4 linked regions of the Arabidopsis thaliana genome follow. The protein of the gene in region 2 interacts with the protein of the main gene of each other region in a pairwise test. Each region holds a gene or a part of one and is shown on either strand. Other genes may lie near its edges. The genes, in order: BBX17, EIL2, HSFA9 and HB24.

What was found.
Region 1: the proteins of EIL2 (region 2) and BBX17 interact in a two-hybrid assay, tested with the Arabidopsis thaliana proteins (one large-scale study listed by BioGRID).
Region 3: the proteins of EIL2 (region 2) and HSFA9 interact in a two-hybrid assay, tested with the Arabidopsis thaliana proteins (one large-scale study listed by BioGRID).
Region 4: the proteins of EIL2 (region 2) and HB24 interact in a two-hybrid assay, tested with the Arabidopsis thaliana proteins (one large-scale study listed by BioGRID).

The regions. Positions count from the first base shown.
Region 1 is NC_003070.9:18,172,492-18,179,215, reverse strand, and holds BBX17 (B-box type zinc finger protein with CCT domain-containing protein), read left to right. Parts: upstream 1-2,826; 5' UTR 2,827-3,279; coding exon 3,280-3,313; exon of another isoform or gene 3,314-3,404; coding exon of another isoform or gene 3,405-3,417; coding exon 3,418-4,184; intron 4,185-4,295; coding exon 4,296-4,475; 3' UTR 4,476-4,799; downstream 4,800-6,724. Other genes in the region: AT1G49150 (uncharacterized protein), read right to left, coding at 193-639; AT1G49140 (NADH dehydrogenase ubiquinone 1 beta subcomplex subunit 10-B-like protein (Complex I subunit NDUFS6)), read left to right, coding at 947-1,235, 1,486-1,520; CRF9 (Integrase-type DNA-binding superfamily protein), read right to left, coding at 4,800-5,789.
Region 2 is NC_003076.8:7,179,374-7,185,678, forward strand, and holds EIL2 (ETHYLENE-INSENSITIVE3-like 2), read left to right. Parts: upstream 1-3,215; 5' UTR 3,216-3,234; coding exon 3,235-4,812; 3' UTR 4,813-4,969; downstream 4,970-6,305. Other genes in the region: AT5G21125 (uncharacterized protein), read right to left, coding at 5,675-6,055. UniProt on the Arabidopsis thaliana protein: Probable transcription factor acting as a positive regulator in the ethylene response pathway. Could bind the primary ethylene response element present in the ETHYLENE-RESPONSE-FACTOR1 promoter.
Region 3 is NC_003076.8:21,941,673-21,947,574, reverse strand, and holds HSFA9 (heat shock transcription factor A9), read right to left. Parts: upstream 3,593-5,902; 5' UTR 3,558-3,592; coding exon 3,168-3,557; intron 3,089-3,167; coding exon 2,483-3,088; 3' UTR 2,151-2,482; exon of another isoform or gene 2,073-2,150; 3' UTR 1,924-2,072; downstream 1-1,923. Other genes in the region: HGO (homogentisate 1,2-dioxygenase), read right to left, coding at 36-190, 298-367, 448-623, 700-867, 989-1,068, 1,158-1,388, 1,465-1,655; AT5G54067 (B3 domain protein), read left to right, coding at 5,429-5,809.
Region 4 is NC_003071.7:7,969,771-7,975,334, reverse strand, and holds HB24 (homeobox protein 24), read left to right. Parts: upstream 1-3,253; 5' UTR 3,254-3,424; coding exon 3,425-4,213; 3' UTR 4,214-4,309; downstream 4,310-5,564. Other genes in the region: AT2G18340 (late embryogenesis abundant domain-containing protein / LEA domain-containing protein), read right to left, coding at 4,310-5,531. UniProt on the Arabidopsis thaliana protein: Putative transcription factor.

The sequences.
Region 1 (6,724 bases), on a different chromosome or scaffold from region 2:
AAAACAAGAAAGTGAATACACAATTTTCTTGCCTCTATTCATAAGAAATAAACCTGTTTTCATTGTGTTTATTTAACACCAAAAGCACTCAAAATTGAGGCTTAACATTCAGACAAACCGTAACTATAGAACATAAGAAAAACCTAACTATTGAAGAGGTTGCATTATATCACAAGTTTAAAACACCAAAGCTCAAGCTGAGTAGCAAAAATAGGTCTCTTCTTCCGCCACCAAAACCTCAACAGGAACGTCTACAAAAGCCTTGACCGCCACAACGACCACCGGAAAAACGACCACCGACGAAAAGACCACGACCACCACCAGGACCAAAGACAGGAGTACCAAAACGGCTATAAGGTTCCTCATCAGAAGATGATCCATCCACAGACATGCTCTCTGCCTGGGCTTTACAGAGCCAATTTTAACTTCATTATTTGACCTAAACAATGAGATCAACAGATCCATCTTCTCTTCCATTTTATGAAGACGAATACCAAATCCTTCCAACATCTCCATCGCATCAGATATTTTCATCTCAGTCGTCATGTCTTTCTTATCTTTCTCCAAATTGTCTGTAGGCGTCGTGTCCTTAATCACAGAAGGAGATGCTTCAGCTTTGGTTGCGGATTTATTGTCCATGGAGAAGATGATTAGTAGAACAACGCACTAGAGCTAGGTTAAAAGAGAGAAATTGGAGATCGGCAAAAACCCCTAATCAGCTGCTTAGGAAGAAAGGTATTTATAAGAGTCTTTTATATTCTGGCTTGGGGCACAAGAGTCCTTTCCTTTTATTTTATTTACTTTTCCCGTTGTTCATTTTTTCAACTAAGCAAGCTTTATCTGGGCCGAGGTGAGGCCCATTAATTGAATTAAAAGCCCAAAATAACAACAAAACATTACCTGATTGTCGGAAAATCAGACGGAAACAAAAGAAATCAAAAATCCGATGGGGAGGAAGAAGGGATTGCCGGAGTTCGAAGAGTCGGCGCCGGATGGATTCGATCCTGAGAATCCGTACAAGGATCCGGTTGCGATGGTGGAGATGAGAGAACACATTGTTCGTGAGAAATGGATCCATATCGAGAAGGCTAAGATCTTACGTGAGAAGGTCAAATGGTGTTACCGCGTCGAAGGCGTTAACCATTACCAGAAGTGTCGTCATCTTGTTCAGCAGTATCTCGATGCCACTCGCGGCGTTGGTTGGGGCAAAGACCACCGTCCTATCTCTCTTCACGGTGAGTTTTTTTCCCGGCGTTCTCTCTCACACTGGTGAAAATGCTTAGATTGAAATTCTTAGGGTTTCGTGTTTTTTTCCTTAGCCTTTGAATTTTGAATTCAGTTACTCTTTAGTGTGTTTGATTGAATTTGATTTGAATTTGATGTAGAGTGGTCTCAAAATTCTTCATGAATACCTTTGTGAAATTGATTCTTCCTTTAGATATATGTATTGAATTTTTTTTGTTTGTATTGATTTTGTCAAACCAGGTCCTAAGCCAGTAGCTGTTGAAGAAGCTGAATGATGTTGTGTGCGTGATTGATCTTTGGTAAGTAACTGGTGTTGATTAGTTATATAGTGTGTATTGCTTAGAAGAGGAGAAAGGTTAGACTTTCTAGCATGCTTTGTGTAGACACTATCTTATAACTGGACATGTTATGTGAATCTGTTTGTGGTAGGAGAAAATTGGAATATGGATGTTTGGATAGTTATATGTATGAACTGATCAGGTCTTAGAGTGACTTAGTTTTGCGGAAGTTGTGGATACACTGGTTAATTATTGATATCAATCTGACTGCAATCACAAAGGTTAAAGCTTAGTCATGGACTTTCTTCGGTGGTTTTAGAAACAGGACATGTTTTGGAATGTATAGAAATGAAATTGATAGATCTTGGAGTGACTCAATTTTGGAGACATATGGGCCGATATTATAGATACCAATCCGCTTGCAATTGCGTCCATCTTTAATCTGCAACAGAGCTAAACCTAGTCACAGAATTTCATTGATGAATTAATTATTTGAGATATGAGATGTTGTGGACTGTATGAAGAAGGATAGAGCTCCAACATTTAGGTTTTGATTGGTTTAAACAATAGTTCCAATAGGGTTAAGGCATATAGTCAAAATCTCAAGTTCAAATTGGATTGATGATTTTTGTATTTGGTTCAAAGATTTTAAAGGTTTTTTCTTGCTCCAATGACACAGGTGAGTGAGAGCTTTGATTACCATACATGAATGGAGTCTCTGTTGCAAGTTAATGCTCCACATCAAGGTTGTTACTTGATTTATGCTTTTCTGTTTCGTAAAACATATATTACTAATTGGACTTGGGAGTTCCAATTGGTTAAGCTCAGCTTCGTTTTTCAAATGATTTATATATATTTTTGGCTTGTTGTACATTGCGTCCCTGTTTGTCGAAATAATGAAATTCCCAAGTACCTTTTTGCATGCTTGCAACTTAGTATATGTTTTTAAGACTTTATCTGATAAAACTAAGAAAGAGTTAACTCTAAAAACATCATACTTTCCCTTTATTTCAAAACTGTAGGAACATCTTTACTTCTTTAGTGTTGTCTAAATGGATTCATTTCTGAAATAGTTCATGAAATTTTTATTAACCTTTAAGTAGTAGTTCAAACATCTACGGAGTCTATTACCATATGTTAAATGGTGACAAAGACAGGTAAGGACCACAGACAAAATGAGTCAGAAAACAAAAGACTAACAAACAAAAAGATAAAACTTAGAGATGGGTAAGGAAAAGAAGCCATAAAAGACCCAAAAACATAATCCAAGTCTAACCAATAAGATCGCAAAGATATGGATCAACTTCGGTACATGATGCCAAATCATCACTACAGTGTCTTTTTTCCTTGTACAACCCAACCAAAAATGGGTATGGCCAAACTTCAATAATACACCAAGTGTTTACTCATCTCAAATTTTACTACCTTTTCTTAAGACTAATCTACTCTATATAAGTATGTTCACTAACCCTTAATGTTAAGATTCAAGAATATTAAACATGTATAGAACAAGACTCAAGGAAACTTGAGCTAAAAAGTCATTTCTAGTCCCTACTGACATAAGAAAGAAGTGTCAGTGAAAAAATCTTCTAGATTCTAAAGGAAAATGTCTTTGTCTGATCCCAACGAAAAAGATTATTATATACCTACCTAAGCAGGCTCCTTTGTCAGTGCCCATTATTCTCCATCCCTCTTAGCCCTTGTCTTCTTCATTGTCCCCTTTTTCTCACTTTAAGATCTTTCTTGTTCTTAGCCCATGACAAGTCACCAAAATATCAAAATTTCAGAAAGTATATAACCATTACTCTACTGTTTCCTGATAAACCTCCTTTTGTGCCAGTTTCTTCTTCTACTTTGATTTCTTCTCATATCTCTGTTTTCATGTTTTGCGCAGAAATTATGATTTCAAAGTACCAAGAAGATGTCAAGCAGCCACGAGCTTGCGAACTTTGTCTGAACAAACACGCAGTTTGGTACTGTGCCTCCGATGATGCTTTCTTGTGCCATGTTTGTGATGAATCAGTGCATTCTGCAAACCATGTAGCGACAAAACACGAGAGAGTTTGTCTTAGAACAAACGAGATATCGAATGATGTGCGTGGGGGAACAACATTAACCTCGGTTTGGCACAGCGGGTTTCGAAGAAAAGCAAGAACTCCTAGATCTCGGTATGAGAAAAAGCCACAACAAAAGATAGATGATGAGAGAAGAAGGGAAGATCCTCGTGTTCCCGAGATTGGAGGCGAAGTGATGTTTTTCATACCAGAAGCAAATGATGATGATATGACTTCTCTTGTGCCAGAGTTTGAGGGATTCACAGAGATGGGATTCTTCTTGAGCAACCACAATGGTACTGAAGAAACAACGAAACAATTCAACTTTGAAGAAGAAGCTGACACAATGGAGGATCTATATTACAATGGAGAAGAAGAAGATAAAACTGATGGAGCTGAAGCATGTCCTGGACAATATTTGATGAGCTGCAAGAAAGATTACGACAATGTCATAACGGTTTCAGAAAAGACAGAAGAAATTGAAGATTGTTATGAGAATAATGCAAGGCATAGACTGAATTACGAAAATGTTATAGCAGCTTGGGATAAACAAGAATCTCCTAGAGATGTAAAAAACAACACAAGTAGCTTCCAGCTAGTTCCTCCAGTAAGCGCCTAATCTTCCGAGTTCTTACAAAAATGATATTATATTGTTTCAAATTGAGAAAATTGAACCCAATCTATCAAAGAAACTTATTGTAATGGTTGTTGATTGCAGGGGATAGAGGAGAAGAGAGTAAGAAGTGAGAGAGAAGCTAGAGTTTGGAGATACAGAGATAAAAGGAAGAATCGTTTGTTCGAGAAGAAGATAAGGTACGAGGTTAGAAAGGTTAACGCCGACAAAAGGCCGAGAATGAAAGGTCGATTTGTCCGACGATCTTTAGCCATCGACTCTTAGGGAACAGATTCTCTCAGTTTCTTCTCCTTTGTGCCAAATAAAAAAAAGGCTACTCCAAAGAAACCAGAAGCTAATCAAAAGAACAAAAAAGCTCATGTGGAACATATTTCGTAGCTTTTGAATTTATCCCTACAATGACATGGTTACAACTTTATTCTTAAATCAATTTGAGAATTTAAATTTCATACTAGTAAAAGCTTCTCTTATGAGGTAAATCTCTTTATATAAGCAGTTAGTTACAAAAACCAAAACGAATTACAAACAACTTGTAACTCAAAGATTTGTAGTTTTGTACTAATACCGTTGGCCGTGTCAAGAAAGTATTCATAAAAACTTATCGATCCAATCAGTAGTACCATTAAACCAACTAAAATCATCATCCTCTGGATCTCCTAATAATCCAAGATCATCCATAGGAAAATCTTCTAACTTAAAATCATCTATCAACGGATCAAAATCAAGTAAATCATCGACGAATAAGTCCCCATTGGTCGATACGATTTTGGCATGTTGATTAACTTTAGTGTGATCCCCAATCTTAAATCCAAATGTTTTCTCCTTTCCTACTCTATCATTCTCCACAAAATCAAACTTGAAATCATCTACAATGGAAATAAATTCCACTGAATTGTAATCCACCCAAATATCATTTGCTTCAACAGCCGAATCACCAAAAATATCAGCAATTGACGATGTCATCAACGGATCTTCCAACATTTTACTAATCACTCCCTCTTCTTCATGATCAGCGTTATAACCACAACCAAATGGCTTCTGATCAGTAACAATTCTCTTATTTACCTTTTTGCAATTCGACTTCTCAGTAACTTCCTTCTCTTCTGGTTTACGTACACCGCACGGCTTGGTCAAATCTACTAGGTCTTTTTCCTGTTTAACTAAACCCAATCGTTCATCAAACTCTCTTTTACTCTTTTGGTAAGCTTCTGCTGCTTCTTCTTCAGTAGGAAACGTTCCAAGCCACTTTCTCTTCTTCTCAAACGGATTTCTTATCTCCGCCGCAAATTTCCCCCACGGCCTCCGTCGTACGCCTTTGAAACCCGACGACGTTTTCCGGTTTCCGGCTGCTTTATTCCCTGTAGAATTCGAAACGTTCTCATACCTTTTGATCAGCGTCGGGACACAGATCTTTGAGACGTAACGTTTCGGTGGTTTTGGTTTGATCTGACGGCGAGGATTATTGCCGGAGATAGATTCATCGTCGCTAGAGGAATCGGTGGCGTCTGGATCATTACAGATTACACTAATTGTTTTAATCAAGTTGAGATCGATGTTCTCTTCTCTGAAACTGATCATTGTTCTCTCTCCGACTAAACTCCGGTACTAAGTAACAGAATCTTACAATAAAAACCAAAAAAAAAACAATGTAGTGTTTTGAGTTGGTGATAGAGATAGAGATTAAAAACCTAAACATGGGAGAAAAACTTGAACAGAAAACATAGTTAAGATTCATCATCGTACCTTGTTATGGAGAGTGTGTCAAAAATAAAATTCAAGGAGCTTATGGCAAAGCTAAGGAAGACGAAACATAGAAGACGTTATTAATAGTTTATGAGAATTGTTTTGTTTTCCTTTTTAATTTTTGTTTAGATATAATCATAAAAGTAAAATCTGTAGTAAATATTAACGAGGATATCGGTAACTACCATATCTAAATTTACCATTTTTTTTTTTTTGTGATAGAAAAAGAAAGTTAATATTTTAGTAGGAAAAAATGGAAAATTGGGAATTCTCTGATGATATATTATAGTTCTTTTTTTCTTTGGTCCTAAAACTTCAATTGATATCACACTCTAATTTTTATTTTTTTGTATTTCTCGGAGAATAATTTGTAGACTACACATTAATGATTAAATAAAAAGTTTTTTATTTTCGATGGAGAAATCAACCATCTAAGTACGGAGAACACGTAAAATTGGGACTATCCAGAATCTCATAGGTTAATCTCAACCCTCAACTTATGATTTTGAGAAAATAACACACTTTTTTTTTTTTAACGGCAAATCGATTTTATTATATAGTTAAAGTTTACATGATACATAAGAAACATTCAAAAGCAACCTGAGAAAATAATACACTTATTCTATCAAAACTAGTAGTGATTTTTTTTTTTGTTATATTAACGAGTTTAATTTTCAAATCATTAGATTATTTTTTAAGTCACTACATCATAGTATATATATTTATCATCTTATATGTATAAAATGAAATTTCAAAACTTGATAAACATG
Region 2 (6,305 bases):
ATAGTTGCATATTTTCACATACTATATTAATAAAACATTACTTATAGGAAAACGACGAGAGTTCCAATAATTGTGGAGTAGCCGACAAAAAAATCCCGGGAGACACGTTTCAGACATTTTAAAGAATCATTGCTGGCGACGAAACGTGCCTTCGTGGCACTTGTTTACTTTCCTATTGGCTATTTGGTTATATTCATTGCACCTCTTCTACATTTTCTCTAAGAAAACATTATATTATCATATTAAGAAATAAATACTAAAAACATCATGCTGGTATTGTTTTTCTTTGATTTGAAATAGGTTTTATACCCTATAATATATAGTTGTACTATATACCGTATCTCATTTGAACTTAAAATCAAATATGATATTTAGATAACTAGTTGACATTTCTAAAGGATAACCAAAATAAAATAAAACGAAAGTATTACCTGTTTCATTACCCACACGTTGACCGTTATACAAACAGTTATAGATAATATATCATCATAATTAAAGGTCAACATTTCATGATTTATTAAGTAGTTTATATAACATTTTGCAATGAGAAACCCGACAATTTATAGTATGGCGCCAAGATTACGAAATCTCAAATACCTATCTTTTAATGGGAGAGTTTTAAAATCGAAAAACGAATATTTGATGAGAGTTTTATTTTATTTTTTGAGTCGTGCATTACAAATATCACTGTGAAAAATGTTGATCGATTTACATAAGAATCATAATCGTCCATTGGATATATAGACAATGTGATTTAGAAGGTTATATATTTGTTTGTCTAAAGAAAAAATAATATCTTCAATTATATGACACAGTTTACAATTCAGCATAGAAAACAATACAATAAGCTACAAAGGATTGTTTTAAATAGATTTTAAAACACCATATTATCATCTTTAAATTTTGGCTTCTTGAGATGGTCTGGATAAATAGAAAATTATTAAAATAAAAAACATTGTTAACTACTAATTTTATATTAAAAATACATTTATGGAATGCTTAAAGGAAAATGGGGAAATATATATAGACAGTAATACTAGAAACCAATCTGTTGGTCAAATATTTAGAGCCAGTATCCAAAGGGATTGAATGTATATTAGTATATATAAGATATCATAAATTCATAGAGAATACAAAATTCACAATTCTTAATACAAAATACTTACCTATATGAAACTTTTCAATTTTAATGCTATGAGCTTGTGCAATTTAAAAGGCTCTTATATCTAGCATATACTAATATAATGCAAAAACAAAAATGGTAAACTAAGTATTTTTATTCTATTCTAAAGAATGTCAAATTGTATGCTTTTAAATGTTTAAACAAAAATCATGGAAATTTGGTATTTTGTAAGAAATTGAAAGCGCCACAATTCTGAGCTATTTTAAGGAATTCTTCAATAATTTTGTTTTTTTAGCATTATCATATATGTATCAGAATTAATTAGTGAGTACTGGCAACATTTTTTCCCTTTTCTTTCATACTCTGCCAGCTTTTGTATTTAAAACTATGATATTTTTTTCTATATCATATTATGTGATTTGTTTACATTTTCAAAGCAAAATGTAATAATTTCTATATATTTTATGACAATGTGCATTTTTTACTTTATTTTTATTGGTTGGACTGTGATTAGATAAATCATAAAATATCTTTTGATTTAGTAAAATAAAGAAAATCATTAATTTCTTAATATGGAAAAATTTAAACGTTTTTATTTTGATACAAAGAGAGTAATTATTTTGTAAGTCTTTGGGCATGATAAGTTTTTAGTATTCAGGACTTGGTAGAACTACAAGAATCTCATTTAAATTCCATTGTAAAAACTAATTGATAAAACTAATACAAGTAAATTAGTATAAATAGGTTGTATTTTGTTTTTTTTAAAGTATAAATAGATCGTACGGAACTACTTACTGTTTTACTATTTGTTTATCTAGACCGATATATTTAGATACAGCTCCCCATGAAATTAAATGCATTAACAAATTTTAAAATTCAAACATACGCACCAATTAATTTAAAGCTATTATTTAAATATTTTATAAAAAAAAAATTACATGCTACGATTTTATACCATTAAAATAGTAAATTTACGTGCCTTAGAAAATGTCTATATTTGGTACTTGATTCCTATTTGTTTTCAAAAATACTCGCTTTATGTTTAGGGGTTATATTTTTCCCGCTTAAGCATACATCTACATTTGATATTTTTCTTATAGTAGACATGATTATATTTTTTATATTGATATTAATAATTTTAGGCTATCAAACAAAAAATAATTTAGGCAGAAATAACCATTTTATGGGCATGTTAATTTTTCTTTTTTTTAAAAGAAGTGACTATATATTTAAATAAAGAATCTGAACTAGAAATGGAATGAAACTCAAAGGAGATAAATAAGAAATTTTTACCATATCCTTACACAAAGAAATGTGTCGTTTAGCATGGTTTTTACAGGCCTATTATCACCACCCTTTCGCAGTCTCTTCTTATTTAATGCTCATAATATATATAGATACACAAACATACATACATACATGTCTCTATCTCTTCTCTCTCTCTGAAGGTCCCAATAGCTTCTTTGGTTTGAATTTGGTGGCCGAAGCAACACAAAGGTCTCAAGAGTTTTCTGGGTATATTCTCTTCTTCCTTCGATTTCTCTTTATTTTTGTTTTTGTTTTGTTTTGCTTTTACGTATATTGTCTGCTTGCAAATATTGTTTTTTGACTTGTTGGGTTTGGTCTATCTGATATTTTGTCCGATGGGTTCCATTTTCACTTTTGCAAGATCAAGTATTTCAGTAGTAATACGGACTGGATTGTTTTGTCGTTATATGCTTTGATAAGAATCAAAAGAAAGAAAAAGATCGATGCTTTTACTGTATAATCATTTGATGATAAACCATTAATCTTGTTTGTGATTTTCTTTTACCTTCTCTAAATATTTCTCCTATATTATGTACTTAATCTCTTTGGTAGTAGTTTTCCTATAGTATTTATTCAATCCCTTGGGAGTAATAACTAATGGAATTTGGATCTCTAAATCTTTGTGTTATTCATATGATGAATCTTATTTCACAAGTTAGATCTCTCGATCTTTCACTAAAAGTCTCTGTTTTTTTCTTTTGTGTTATGTTATTGCTAGAGAGTTTTAATTTAGATTTTGATAAATACGGCATTACTAAATGACGATGATTATGCAATTTTATTCTTAAAGTGAATCATAGTTGATGACATTATTTGCAGATTCTATGGATATGTATAACAACAATATAGGGATGTTCCGGAGTTTAGTTTGTAGCTCGGCGCCTCCATTTACAGAGGGACATATGTGTTCTGATTCGCATACGGCTTTGTGCGATGATCTGAGTAGTGATGAGGAAATGGAAATAGAGGAGCTTGAGAAGAAGATCTGGAGAGACAAGCAGCGTTTAAAGCGGCTCAAGGAAATGGCGAAGAACGGTCTAGGAACAAGATTGTTGTTGAAGCAGCAACATGATGATTTTCCAGAGCACTCTAGTAAGAGAACCATGTACAAGGCACAAGATGGGATCTTGAAGTACATGTCGAAGACAATGGAGCGATATAAAGCTCAAGGTTTTGTTTATGGGATTGTGTTAGAGAATGGGAAAACGGTAGCGGGATCTTCTGATAATCTCCGTGAATGGTGGAAAGACAAAGTGAGGTTTGATAGGAACGGCCCAGCTGCTATAATCAAGCACCAAAGGGATATCAATCTTTCTGATGGAAGTGATTCAGGGTCTGAGGTTGGGGATTCTACCGCACAGAAGTTGCTTGAGCTTCAAGATACTACTCTTGGAGCTCTGTTATCGGCTCTGTTTCCTCACTGCAACCCTCCTCAGAGGCGGTTTCCGTTGGAGAAAGGCGTGACACCGCCATGGTGGCCAACGGGGAAAGAAGATTGGTGGGATCAACTGTCTTTACCCGTTGATTTTCGAGGTGTTCCGCCACCTTACAAGAAGCCTCATGATCTCAAGAAGCTGTGGAAAATTGGTGTTTTGATTGGTGTAATCAGACATATGGCTTCTGACATTAGCAACATACCCAATCTCGTGAGACGGTCTAGAAGTTTGCAGGAGAAAATGACGTCAAGAGAAGGCGCTTTATGGCTCGCTGCTCTTTACCGAGAAAAGGCTATTGTTGATCAAATAGCCATGTCTAGAGAAAACAACAACACTTCTAACTTTCTTGTTCCTGCAACCGGTGGAGACCCAGATGTTTTGTTTCCTGAATCTACAGACTATGATGTTGAACTGATTGGTGGCACTCATCGGACCAATCAGCAGTATCCTGAATTTGAAAACAACTACAACTGTGTTTACAAGAGAAAGTTTGAAGAAGATTTTGGGATGCCAATGCATCCAACACTCCTAACATGTGAGAACAGTCTCTGTCCTTATAGCCAACCACATATGGGATTTCTTGACAGGAACTTAAGAGAGAATCACCAAATGACTTGTCCTTATAAAGTCACTTCCTTCTACCAACCAACTAAACCCTATGGTATGACGGGTTTAATGGTTCCTTGTCCGGATTATAACGGGATGCAGCAGCAGGTTCAGAGCTTTCAAGACCAGTTTAATCATCCCAACGATCTCTACAGACCAAAAGCTCCACAAAGAGGCAACGATGACTTGGTTGAGGATTTGAATCCTTCTCCTTCGACGCTGAATCAGAATCTTGGTTTAGTCTTACCTACTGACTTCAATGGAGGTGAGGAAACAGTAGGAACAGAGAACAATCTGCATAATCAAGGGCAAGAGTTGCCCACATCTTGGATTCAGTAAAGAAAGCTTCAGAGTTTTCTTTTTATGTTTTCTAGTCTTTATAGCTTTGTCTCTTGCTTATTCTCTCATTAAACACAGTTTTTGATCTCTCCATTTCATAGCCCATGTAGCAATGGAGAAGATTAGGTTTCATAATAAGTTAATAACCAAATTCAAAGTAATTCATTATGTGATTTGAAGAGCCTCTCTTTTTGACAAAAGAACAGTAGAAAATGCTTTATTTGTTTAGACTTTAGAGGTGTGTATTTGTGTTCGCCTTGGGCTTCAAGGAAGAAGGCGTTTGTAGACATTTTTAATATTAAATAATTTAAACTTTGTTGGTATGATAATATTTTTATTTATGTCTTTTTATTATGTCTTTTTATAGGGAATTGTTTTCTATAAATAACAGATTTTTTATGTGTTAAATTAATTTTGTGCCTTTAAAAGAGATTAATGGTTAAAAGATGTATTTCTATATAAATCTCAAATTGAAAAATCAAATAAACTAAGTTTGACGATATGCTATTTTAAAGTTAATATGAATAATTTCAGAAATATTTAAATGATATTTCGCATATTAAATTCATAAAATAAAACTATGTGAAGACCTTACTATATAAAACTATACCTTTTTCGGCAAATCAAATACTTATATTATAAAGAGTTTACAAGAAATATAAATATTTCCAATACAACCGTTGATACAAATAAAGAAAATCGAAACAATTGATTATAAAAGAAAAAAATTCAATGTATTGCTATAATTCACTATAATGATCATATTTACTTTTTTGAATCTAATGTTAAATTATATTCAAAAAAAAAATGTTCGTTGTACAATTTAGTGGTTCGTGAGTTTGAAAATAAATTTTAAAAAGATCTAAAAGAGTAAAAAAAAAAACGCTTGTAAAAGAGCAGCTTGGTTTGGTGACCTCAGGAGCTTAAACTCTAGCAAGGATCCATGCTTGATACGCTTTGTCGTACCGTCTATCTCCTCTTGTTCGAATGGTGGAAATATGAATACAAATTTGTTTATAAATCCATTTTGTGATAAGAGCCCCCGGATGTGGTTCCTTTTTGTGCCTTCTTCCATTCCTCTCCTTTCAAATTGTATAGACAGTGGTTTGTAGAGCATAGCGAGACAGATAGCTCTCCGCTCTACTTTGCTTTGGTTCGATACATAATCCAAGACTTGAGCCCAGTCGGTTCTGTACTGATTTTGAAGATGCCCTTTGTTATTGCCTCCCATATCGTCTCCCATATAATGATCACATCACTCATCTACAAATTTGTATTTATTCAAATGATCAAATCCTTACCGGTTTTTTCTTACCACTATTCCATTCCATGCTAGGATTGGCTGCATCCTCTCATTTCAGTCAAGTTAAGCTCTTTTGTCTATTACTTTATTTCATTCATTTTCTTCTTCAATATTTTTTTTTTTTTTTTTTTTTTTCTTCTTCAATTTTTTTTCTTGGCAAAAATGTTTTACATTGACCAATTTTTACATT
Region 3 (5,902 bases), about 15 Mb from region 2:
ATGATTTGCAGAAGCAGGAACTTCAAGCAGCTTACCTCGTATGCACCGTAGATTAAGCCCATAAATTCACTCATGCAGTTACGATGATAGTAAGGAGGTCGAAAAGTATGCTCAGCAACCAACCATCGAGGAGGAAATATGACAAAATCAAGCAAGGCCACACCAGGTTTATCAGTTGGTGCTGTAAGGACTGAGAGTACAATAATTCACCCAAAGAGTGTGATTACAATAAAGAACAAGTAACCAACCCATAACAAAACAAAAAGAAGAATCGATTTAGCGCAGATGACCACCAACCTGTATTTATAGATGGATCTCCATGATCTAAAAGCACAGTGTTGTATGGACAGAACTTCTTCAGGTCATACTGCAGACAGAAATTGAAATTCTCAGAAAAACAATGCATTAACGTTTTACAAGATTAGGCTCAATAAACAATGTACTCACCTTATAAGGCACGTAATTGCCATGCCAGGCAACCACATTGAATGGAGAGAAATCTTGTTTAGCAGTAAAGAGTTCACCGCCAAACTTCTGAACAATTGTGTATTCAGGCCGCAATCCATCCTCAAACCATGCTGTTGGTGCAAGAAAATCTCTTGATGCAGCAAGACCATTAGCACCTGTCCACATCCACCAATAAGATTCTTGCGGAGAATCCATGTTATTCCGGCTGAATCTAAAAGAACTCAAGAGTACCTATTGGTCCAAGATCAGGAAGCTGAAAATGAGCCCCATAGATTTCAGCAACATAACCACGAGACTTCCCATCCGGTAAATCTATGGAGAAACGGAAACCTTGTGGTATAACAGCAATCTCACCAGGAGTTACCAAAAGCCTTCCACACTCAGTTTCAATCCATAGCCCTAAAACACCCACTCAAACTATCAGAACTGATCCAAGACTATCTTGAATCCATTCTCAATACATGACTGACTTTATTTCCCAAAGATGTGGTAAGGTAAGGCATTGGGACTACTAACTTACTTCCTGTTTGAGGAACTAACAAGAAGTCACCATCAGCGTTGCAAAATGCGGAGTCTTTCATTCCTGTGTTAGCCACATACCTTCAAAACAAAATGAATACAAAAGATCATTACTTTATGTATCACTGATCTACACCAAAGATACCAAAATAAAAAGAAGAGTTTTTTACATGTGAATAGCGAAGCCATGGCGAAGAAACGAGCTTCCAGCTCCACAAATGGTAAATAACCCATCAACGAAATCAATCTCCGAATCAGGAATATCCTCAGGTCTCCACCGAAGCTGAGTCGGATTCGTACGACTATTTGATGCATCAAACTCACTCACAAGCTTCTTATGAGCTGGTACACGAGGCTTGAACGGTTCATGTGTAACCGATGGTTTAACCCGGTACAACCAACTGAAAAAAAAAACAAGATGAAGATCAATCAATTCAACGAAATTATCCAAAACTTACAATTGAAATGATGATGTACCTTCTTTGATTGAGCTTGCGAGGAGAAGTGAAAGAAGTACCGGAGATCTGTTCGGCGTAAAGACCGTAAGGACAAAGAAGAGGACTGTTCTGATCTAACGGTAAAGCTCCGGCGATTGCTTCCGATGAGAAGTGGTTACCAAAACCTGATTGATACTTCAACTCTTCAAGCTCCTTCTTCTTCTCTTCCATGGCTTCTTCACATCAGAGAGAGGAGCTTGTTAAAGAGAGAGACGATGATCGATACATATATTTAATAACGTGGAGGAATGATGATGACGTGGCATACTGATCAAAGAGGAAGAAGAAATGACGTCTGAATTTAAAACTCTTTTTCCTAACAAAACCATAATCTCTAACTATTGGGCTTGAACATATATGGGTTTTGTATACAATTAGGCCCATAAGCTTATGATTTCTTTTTTCTTACGAATTTTGCGTCCCACATCGGTAAGCGAGTGAAGAAATAACTGCTTTATATATGGCTACAAAGCACCATTGGTCACGACCTTACTTGAACAGGATCTGTTCTATAGGCTCGTACCTCTGTTTCCTTGATTTCTCAAGAGACAGGCCCTTAACCCTGGTTGATGAACCATGACCGTGCGGCTAGAGCGTGATTGACGGCTACGATCGTCCTCGGACGCATCCGGTGCTGTAGAGGATCGTTACTCGGCTCGGTTCTACCTTGCCGGGGTGGTCGCACGGCGGTCTGACAGGTTCTTTTATTTTTTCACCCTCAAAACTTTGAATGAATTTCTTCTATTTTATGCTACAAGTCACTACTCGCTAGTTAAAAAATTATTAGTAATGGAAGGCGATGGCAACAGTTAACCAGAGCTACACTTTTTTACAAGTCCCTTTTCACTAGAGCTACACTTTTTTACAAGTCCTTGAGTCGCTTTTTACAAGTCCCTTTCGCTTATATACACATGAAACCATACAACAAAGCGCTACGGATTCGGATCTCAAGCCTTGGGATTTGGTACCTTCTCTATTGCTATGTTACCGGTTTTGCTCTACTCTATCTCTATCCTCCCATTTACATCCATTGAGCCACCGTCAACAAGTAGGTCCTCTGAGTTAAGCTGACATCTCGTATTCCCGCTTTGATTGTTCACCAAAATGTCAGGCTCGGGATTGTGTTCTGTTGCAGCCATGGCCATAAATTCTCTTTCTACATCTAACAAGTTCTTTTGAGTTTCTTGATCCTGAAGCAACTTGAGCTTCTTCACGAATTCAGCTGCTTCTAGCTCTCTCTGTATTTTCATCTTTCTCTTCTTCACCAGTCTCTCTACAAATCTTTGATCTTTAGCCAACTTTGCAAAGAAACTAAGCATATGCTGTTGTTCGGTATCAACTCCGTGGATCTTCTCCTGCACAGTGACCATCTGATGTTGAGATTCTTCTTGTTGTTGTTTCAGCTTCAACATCTCCAATCTCATTGGACTCTGTTCCTCCTTCAATGACTCAACCTCAGTCTCTGTCGTGGTGGTACTCGCTTCCTTGTTACAACATTTAGTGTTTTTGCTTCTCCTCTTGATGTTCTTAAGCAAATGTTTCTTCCCTCCTTGAAACCCTTCGTTAGCAAATTCCCACCTATCTGAATCGACCTTTTTAAAACCCTACAAAAAAACTCTAGTTTTTACAAAGCTTGTAAAGCAAGAAACATAGCTAAAGAGTAAAAACTTGTTCTGTGCTTACGTAAGAGTTAAGCTGACGAATAAAACTGGAGAAGTTCTTGTGCTTGAAGTATTTGGGAAGTAGATTCTCTGAGAACTCGTAAGAATCCCAAATGATAAAGCTTTTACGGGTCGGGCTCCATGATACAACCGGGTCTGTTACTTTGTCATCGACGATCTCAAACGTCTTTCTCAAGAACGGTGTTATTAAACCTATCTCGTGCAATTTCCAAAAACCAAGTGACAAGTTAACGGCGTCATCCTCCTCTTCCTTGATTAGTAAAACGACGTCGTCTGGCTTTGAAGATGAATCAGACGAGCCTCTTTCAACGGTGACGGTCTCCGTTGCCGTCTCTTGACAAAGCGAAGAGGAAGAAGATTCAATATCGACGACGTTTGGAATTGCCGTCATAGTAGCTTCCTACACCGTTTCTATTTCTTGTATTAACTTTTTGGTCGTTTATTGTAAGAAATACATCAGTGTTACTATCAAAAAGCTGCCACATTATAACCCATTTTTTTGGAATATAACAATTTATTAACACCTGTATATCTCCAGCTAGCCGTTGGATCTTTGTGGTCGGTCAAGATGAATCGGTCGTCCATTGAATTTGATTTCATGCATGAGGACAAGTGTCGCTTAGGGAAAGCATATACATCAGTTAAAATGCTACTATGCAAGTGCTTTTTTTTTAATAAAGAAGAGAGTTAAAAGATAATTTTGTTAGCTAGAGTTACAGGGCTGTGAGTCTGTGATCAGAGCTCTGTTATTCTTCTATATGATGATAAAATTCATATATTATTGTAGACGATGATAAAACTTATATTGAATTGAAATAGCAGCCATGCTTGTGAATATTAAAACTAGAAATTTTTACTGTAACGTCAATGTTATACGCACTAGAAAATCAAAATGCAATATAGAGTTTTAAGGAATATATAAAGAGACTTAATGGTCGATAAAGAGATCAAAAACAAACTTGTTATAGCGGTTGCATTGGTTGTGGCCGCAGGTGAAGAAGCGACGGTTACATAGGCGATAATGGATTAAACGACGAGCCTTGAGTGAATCCGGTGGGAAGATGAAAAAGGAAGAAACACCATGGCAGGTGAAATTCGACTATGCTCACATTGCAACCATTGCATCGGTCTAACTTCCTCTTTCATATACTCACATTTTTACGAGAATCAACCAAACAATCGTTGCGAGAGAAGCACTTGGATCCTACCTTCCATTGCACTTACTGTTTCCTTGTTTTAAGAGTGAAATGTTTGATTGTGATGGCTTTGGTTATCACAAGAAACAAACAATTGTATAGAGTAACTCAAGTTAATACTCATTACTGTTTATTACAATAGTTACATTTTAAAATTCGTCCGTTATGTCAACCTTTGAAACAAAACATGGAATAGAATTTATACCATGTTGACTGTTAACATTGTAGTAAATAAGATGTATTCAAAGTACTAAAAGAAGTAACAGTCTACTTTACTGACTAAACTTTACTAACTATATAACAGCAAAGTTTATAACTAATATAAAATGAAGCTTTTGGGCTACCTAACCGACATGCCACAACCAAATTTGTTGCTCTGCATGGGTCCTTTTGCAAGATTGGCACGACTCATAAAAATGCTCCCAAAAGTCCGTACTACAAAAAGTTTCGGAGGATTAAAACTATTCTAAATTTCTAATCTTATTCTAATTAAAATGCTCCCAAACGTACGTACCCTACAACAAGCTTAGCAACGACCTAAATTAAATTTCAGATTTTTTATACTTTTTGTTGAGTGAATATGATTACTTTGGGCTTGCAAAACACTTAAATATGTCAAATGGTCCGTTTATAGATTATTGAGCGTTTTCGTGTGGACAATTTCTTTTGTGGGCTGAAGTTGGGCGGTCCATAATGGATTACAACGATCCATTGGAGCCGGCTATGATACTATTGTAAATATTATATTGGTTCGGGGCAGCAATGTAATTGGTTGGAACGCTCAAAAAGAGATTGAGAATAGAAATGGAAATGATCTAAATCAATAATTTGCACAAAACTTTATTCTCAATTTACCAAGTGAAAGTTATCTAAATCTAATATTTTGCAAAAAGTTTACTTTCCAATTCCATATTAAGAGAAATCTAGATATTTAGACAATTTTCTAATTTGTTTCAAAAAGAGTTCTGATTTTTTCTCTTTTGTATTTTACCTTTTTTCTTAGGCTAAATCTCCTATATATATGTTTGAATAGAGAACGTAAGAAATATAAAAAAAATTAAGCAAGATGAATTACAACGATCCATTGGAACCGGCTATGATCATAACAAAAGTGCTATCAAAGAGTGATATCGTTGGTAATGTGGTATTACCGAAAGCAGAAGTGATGTCTGTCCTCACGAGGATGAATGTTAACGACCAAGATTTGCTAAACGGTGTTGAAGTGCAAGTCGACGACATAATGGAAGACGACTTATACACAGTTACGCTCAAAGTATCAGGTATCGATAAACCTAAATATTATTTCGGTACTGGTTGGAGTACTATGAAGCATTCGTTAGATCTCTCAGAAGGCGATGTTCTGAAACTCTACTGGAGTCACTTGGACAACAAGTTCGTTGTTTTGAATTTTCAGTATTCAGTACTTCCATTAATGATTCCAGTGTAGCTCGCTTGCACCTATCTTCTTTTCTGTTTTTGACTATTTATGTTTTGGATTTCATATCCTAGTTAAGTGCTGGCTTTTTTTGCCCTATCTTTT
Region 4 (5,564 bases), on a different chromosome or scaffold from region 2:
GACATGTTTAAGAAAAGTAAAGGTTAGAGAAATATTTTAACACAATAGCAATTTAAATTCATGTAGAAAATATTCTGTTACCAGACAGAGAATCCAGATGCATTACCCCTGGTCATGTAGATATATATTTTTAATGTATTTTTACGCCAGTTCTGTTTATCTATATAAATTATGGTGTTGGTATATAAAATAAAACATAACGAACAATTTAATCAACATTATGTTAGAATTTTTTGGAAATTTTAAAGTCATAATATAAAATTTTGTATACCATTTTTGGCATGGTTTTCTTATATACGTTAGAGCTTAATCGATCACATATAAGTTACAATCAGTTATTTATTTTTCACTATATCATAAAAATTAATTAAATAATTTTTAACCAACATAGTAACATCATGAATTTTTATTTTTGTGCATTATGTGTTTTACATCTGTAATGAGTTATAATCACAAGGATTAATCAAGGAGAAAAACTTTCAAGATGGAACTTTCCACTCATTTTGATTAGCATATGACTTTTTGCTTTTAAAGATTTTTTTTTAATAGATTCTTGTGCTTTGTATTCACTATTCAACATAGTTTCTTCTTAAATGTCATGTCATCCAAAAATAAAAGAATTAGCACTTTAATTGTTTAATCAATTTGTTATTTTAGTTCTTACTTAAATTGAAATAATATCATTAATTGTAAAAATAATATCATTAATATAACATATTATTTTATGTTTAAGTAAAAATCTAGCACTTTAATTGTTTAATCAACAAACTATTAGCTAGTTTTTTAAAATTTATAAGTCTATTTTTAGATATAAATTTCTTGTTGTAATATATTGCTATAATCTAAAAAGGAAATTGGCCTCTATATGATGAGCTATGATTAGAAAATAACATGTTATTTATTTATTTTGTATGAAACATTTTGAACAAAAAGATTTTTAATCATTTTTTGAATGACAGAAGTCATTCCTATTATTTTCTTCAAAATTTATGTTCCTCCTTACTGTATTTTTTTGGTATTTTTTTGTCTGGTCCAATGTTCCTCCTTACTATTTTTTTTTATAAAAAGAATCACTAAATTACTCGACCAAATCATAAAATGTTATTAAATGAAACATAAAAAAATATGTTATATCAATAAAAATAATAATTTCTACTAATTGTAAAATAGATTATCATTACATATATATAAATATATAATCATATTAAATAGATATCAGTAATATACTTCAAAACAATTATACTTAAGTTTCAAATGAGGCTTTGTTTCCTTTATAATCCTCCCTTTTCAATTTATTAAGATTTTGTGTCTGTTTTTTTCACATTTAAAAAATGAAAGAAGCCTAAGTTTTATTTATTTTTCATAGGATGTTATGAATTTTTTTGTATAATGATAAATGTTATATTTAAAAAAGTACAATGATAGAATGATATATACTAGTTTCTTAGATGATAGTTGTAAACTTTAGAATATTATTATTTTCCTCTCTCCTAAACTTTGATTTTTTTTTCTTCTAAAAAAGGCATTATTAGAAATTAAGAATCTCAAAATGTTAGTAATTCTTTTTCTTCACGAAGTACTAGTATTGTTTATTGTAAAAAAAATCAAGTTAGATTTCCCCGAACGTGTGGCCGCGAGGAACAGCATATGGGATGAGATATGTCGCACATGAGAAATGCATATAGTTACATGTATCTAGACTGACCATTCAATTTAAATATAATTGTTCAACTAACTAAACAAATGATAATAATCCTGTATGTCATCAACGAATCATAATCATTATCCAGCACTAAAATCCTTTTTTTGTTCTTCTATCATGGTCTACTGATCTTTTGGCTCCATTTTGGAGAAATCAACCGTAACTAAAAGTATATATATATATATATATATATATATATATATATATATATATATCTTGGTTTGAAGATTTAGTTTTAGTTTTATATGTCAAGTAGAACATCATTCGTCCACTTTCTGTTCTTTTTTTTTGTTTTGATTTTATATTTATTCTTCTAAACCATAATTCTCATCCATTAGATACTTATTTTGAATATCTTAACAATAAATATTGTTATTTTAATGTAACTTACACTAAAATGAAAAATTTAATATTAAATATAAATTGACAAGTGGAAGAAAAGCCTATTAAGAATTTTTTTCATAAGTTTTTATATATTAAAAGTCCGGTAAAAGCTCTCCAGTTTTTCCCAAAAAAATAAAATGAAATAAAGCTCTCCAATGAGAATTGTGTAAGGATTGCATTATGAAACACAAATCCGGTCAAAACACTGTCGATTACTCCATTTTTTTTATTTATTGTATGTTTTCATAACTTTAAACATTAAGGGTGTGTACGGAAAAAAACATTAAGAATGTGATTGGTTACTCTAATTAGCGCAAAATAAAAGAGTTGAGAAAAAATTCTGCCCAAATCATCTTATTTTGGTTGTCTGAATTTTAAAAATCAGATCAAAGTAGATAAGAGACCATACCATATATTACAAATATTTCGACCAATTCGATTTTCGCTTATTTTACAAACAATATTTTGGTTATCTTATTTATTTTACAAAGTAAATGTTCATAAGGTATTCAATCTTTCATTTTATTTTACAAACAATATTTAATGCATGCACCATAATATGTTGCACTGATCGTACTAAACCTACTTACATCGCTAATTTTACGCTAAGCCACAGACACTAATCTCATCAACTATACTAATTGTTGACATTCGACTTAATTAACACAAGATAATTTTATCATTACTCAACATTAAAAACCAATAAAAGAAAGATGTATTGCGACCAATGTGCGGACACTGTATGATAGAGAAACAACGTGGCACTGTCTGCTACAAGTCCACATCTTACTTTCTCTCTCCATCTCTTGTTTCTTAGTGGACTGTGTTATTATTATTATTGGCACAGACCAAACCCACTTGGCTCCTTCATTAGATTTTTTTTCTCTCTCGGAAATTGATGGGCAATAGGAAACACGATTCTCTAATTCTCTCTCTAGAAGGACCAATAGTGTCTTCTTCTCTCCTCTTTTCTCTTTCTCCATTAGTAACGACCTAAACTTTATTTTCTTTTCTTGATCTCTTCTTAAATGGGGTTAGATAAGTTTTCCCCTTTAATTTAGTTGCTTGTAGACTTGAGATTAGTCTAGTAGGTTTTGGTGGGCTATCACTAATACAAAAGTCAAAGTCAAAATTTTTAAAAAGGTTTCAACTTTGGAAGAGATATTTATCATCTTCATTTTCTCTATAGGTTTATGAGAAGCTAAAGCTATGATGATTTCTTTAATCAAAATAGCTTAGGGTTTTGGAGAGAGATTACTAAGAAAGTTTTAATGTTTGTTTAAGAGAAAAGTTATATATTAGGGTTTTCTTTATTCAGAAGCTTCAAGATCAGAAAAGATGGAAGTTAGAGAGAAGAAAGATGAGAAAATGGAGATGACAAGAAGAAAATCATCAGCTCTAGATCATCATCGTCTTCCTCCGTACACTTACTCCCAAACCGCCAACAAAGAGAAACCCACCACCAAAAGAAACGGGTCGGACCCGGATCCGGATCCGGATCTTGATACTAACCCAATTTCTATATCTCATGCTCCAAGATCATACGCTAGGCCTCAAACTACTTCTCCGGGGAAGGCAAGGTATAGAGAATGCCAAAAGAATCACGCGGCGAGCTCCGGTGGACACGTTGTCGACGGTTGCGGCGAGTTTATGTCTTCCGGGGAAGAAGGCACGGTGGAGTCTCTTCTTTGTGCAGCTTGTGATTGCCACCGGAGCTTCCATAGAAAAGAGATCGATGGTTTGTTTGTTGTCAATTTCAATAGCTTTGGCCATTCACAGAGACCACTCGGAAGCCGCCACGTGTCTCCGATAATGATGAGTTTTGGTGGTGGTGGTGGTTGTGCGGCGGAGTCATCGACGGAGGATCTAAACAAGTTTCATCAATCTTTTAGTGGTTATGGAGTGGATCAGTTTCATCATTATCAACCCAAGAAACGGTTTAGGACAAAGTTTAATGAAGAACAGAAGGAGAAGATGATGGAGTTTGCTGAGAAGATTGGTTGGAGAATGACAAAACTAGAAGATGATGAAGTGAATCGGTTTTGTCGTGAGATTAAAGTTAAAAGACAAGTGTTTAAAGTTTGGATGCACAACAATAAACAAGCAGCAAAGAAGAAGGATTTGTAAGAGATTTCTATATATATATATATACTATTTTTACTTCTCTTTGTTCAACATTGCTTTAACTTAAAGACTTTGTGTTTATTGTATAACAAATTGATTTTAGAGCTCAGCATAACGGTCTCTTATTTCTCCCGCAACTTGAGAAGCCTTTTTCTTTGCGGTTTCATAAGCATATTTTGTGGATTCTTTGGCTACACCGTACTTTTCGCCGACTTTTTCCATGGCTTCTTCAAATCCTCTAGTTGCTCCATCTTTGGCATTGTGTGATTTGTCTTTCATGTAGTCAATAGAATCATCCATTGCTTCTCCTGCCGTGTCTTTGGCACTCTTTGACTTTTCTTTGGCTCCTTCATAGGCTTCACCGCTCTTATCCGTTGCCATCCTAATCACATCACCGGCCTTGTCGTATCCGTAACCCGCCTTGTCATATGCAAAGTCTTTTGCATCTTGGGCCTTTTCGTAAGCTATGTCTTTTGCATTGCCAGCCTTCTTGTAGGCGTAGTCTTTGGCCTCACCAGCTTTCTCATAACCAGAATCCTTTGCCTTCTGCGCACTGCCATAAGCAGATCCCACCTTATCATAGGCCATGTCCTTGGCATTGCCCGCCTTATCATAGGCCATATCCTTGGCAATGCCAGCCTTCTCATAAGCCACGTCCTTTGCATCCCCCGCTTTATCATATGCCATGTCTTTTACTATGCCTGCCTTCTCATAGGCCATGTCCTTGGCATCACCGGCCTTATCATAACCAGAGTCCATCATACTCTGTGCACTTCCGTAAGCAGATCCCACTTTATCATATGTGAAATCCTTTATGTGTTCCGCCTTCTCGTAGGCCATGTCCTTCGCATTTCCCGCCTTCTCATATGCCATATCCTTTGCATTGCCTGCCTTATCATAGGCAACATCCTTCGCGTAGCCTCCCTTATCATAGGCGAAATCCTTTGCATATCCCGCTGTCTCGTAGGCCATGTCCTTAGCATTGCCTGCCTTATCATAGGCGAAATCTTTGGCATGGCCCGCTTTCTCATAAGCCATGTCCTTTGCATCACCAGCCTTGTCATATGCAAAATCCTTAGCATAGCCCGCATTTTCGTATGCCATGTTCTTTGCATCACCAGCCTTGTCATAAGCGAAATCCTTTGCGTACTCTGCCTTGTTCTCAGCAAAATCCTTGGCGTAACCTGCATTGTCGTAAGCAGAGTCCTTGACGTAATTTGCCTTGTCATAAGCATAGTTTTCCGCGGCTTGAGCCGCTTTTCTTGCTTCATCTTTAGATTTTTGATAAATTCCTGTTTCTTCTTTCTTAGTACCAAATCCACTGGGAAAAGAAGTAAAACGTTACCTCTCAATC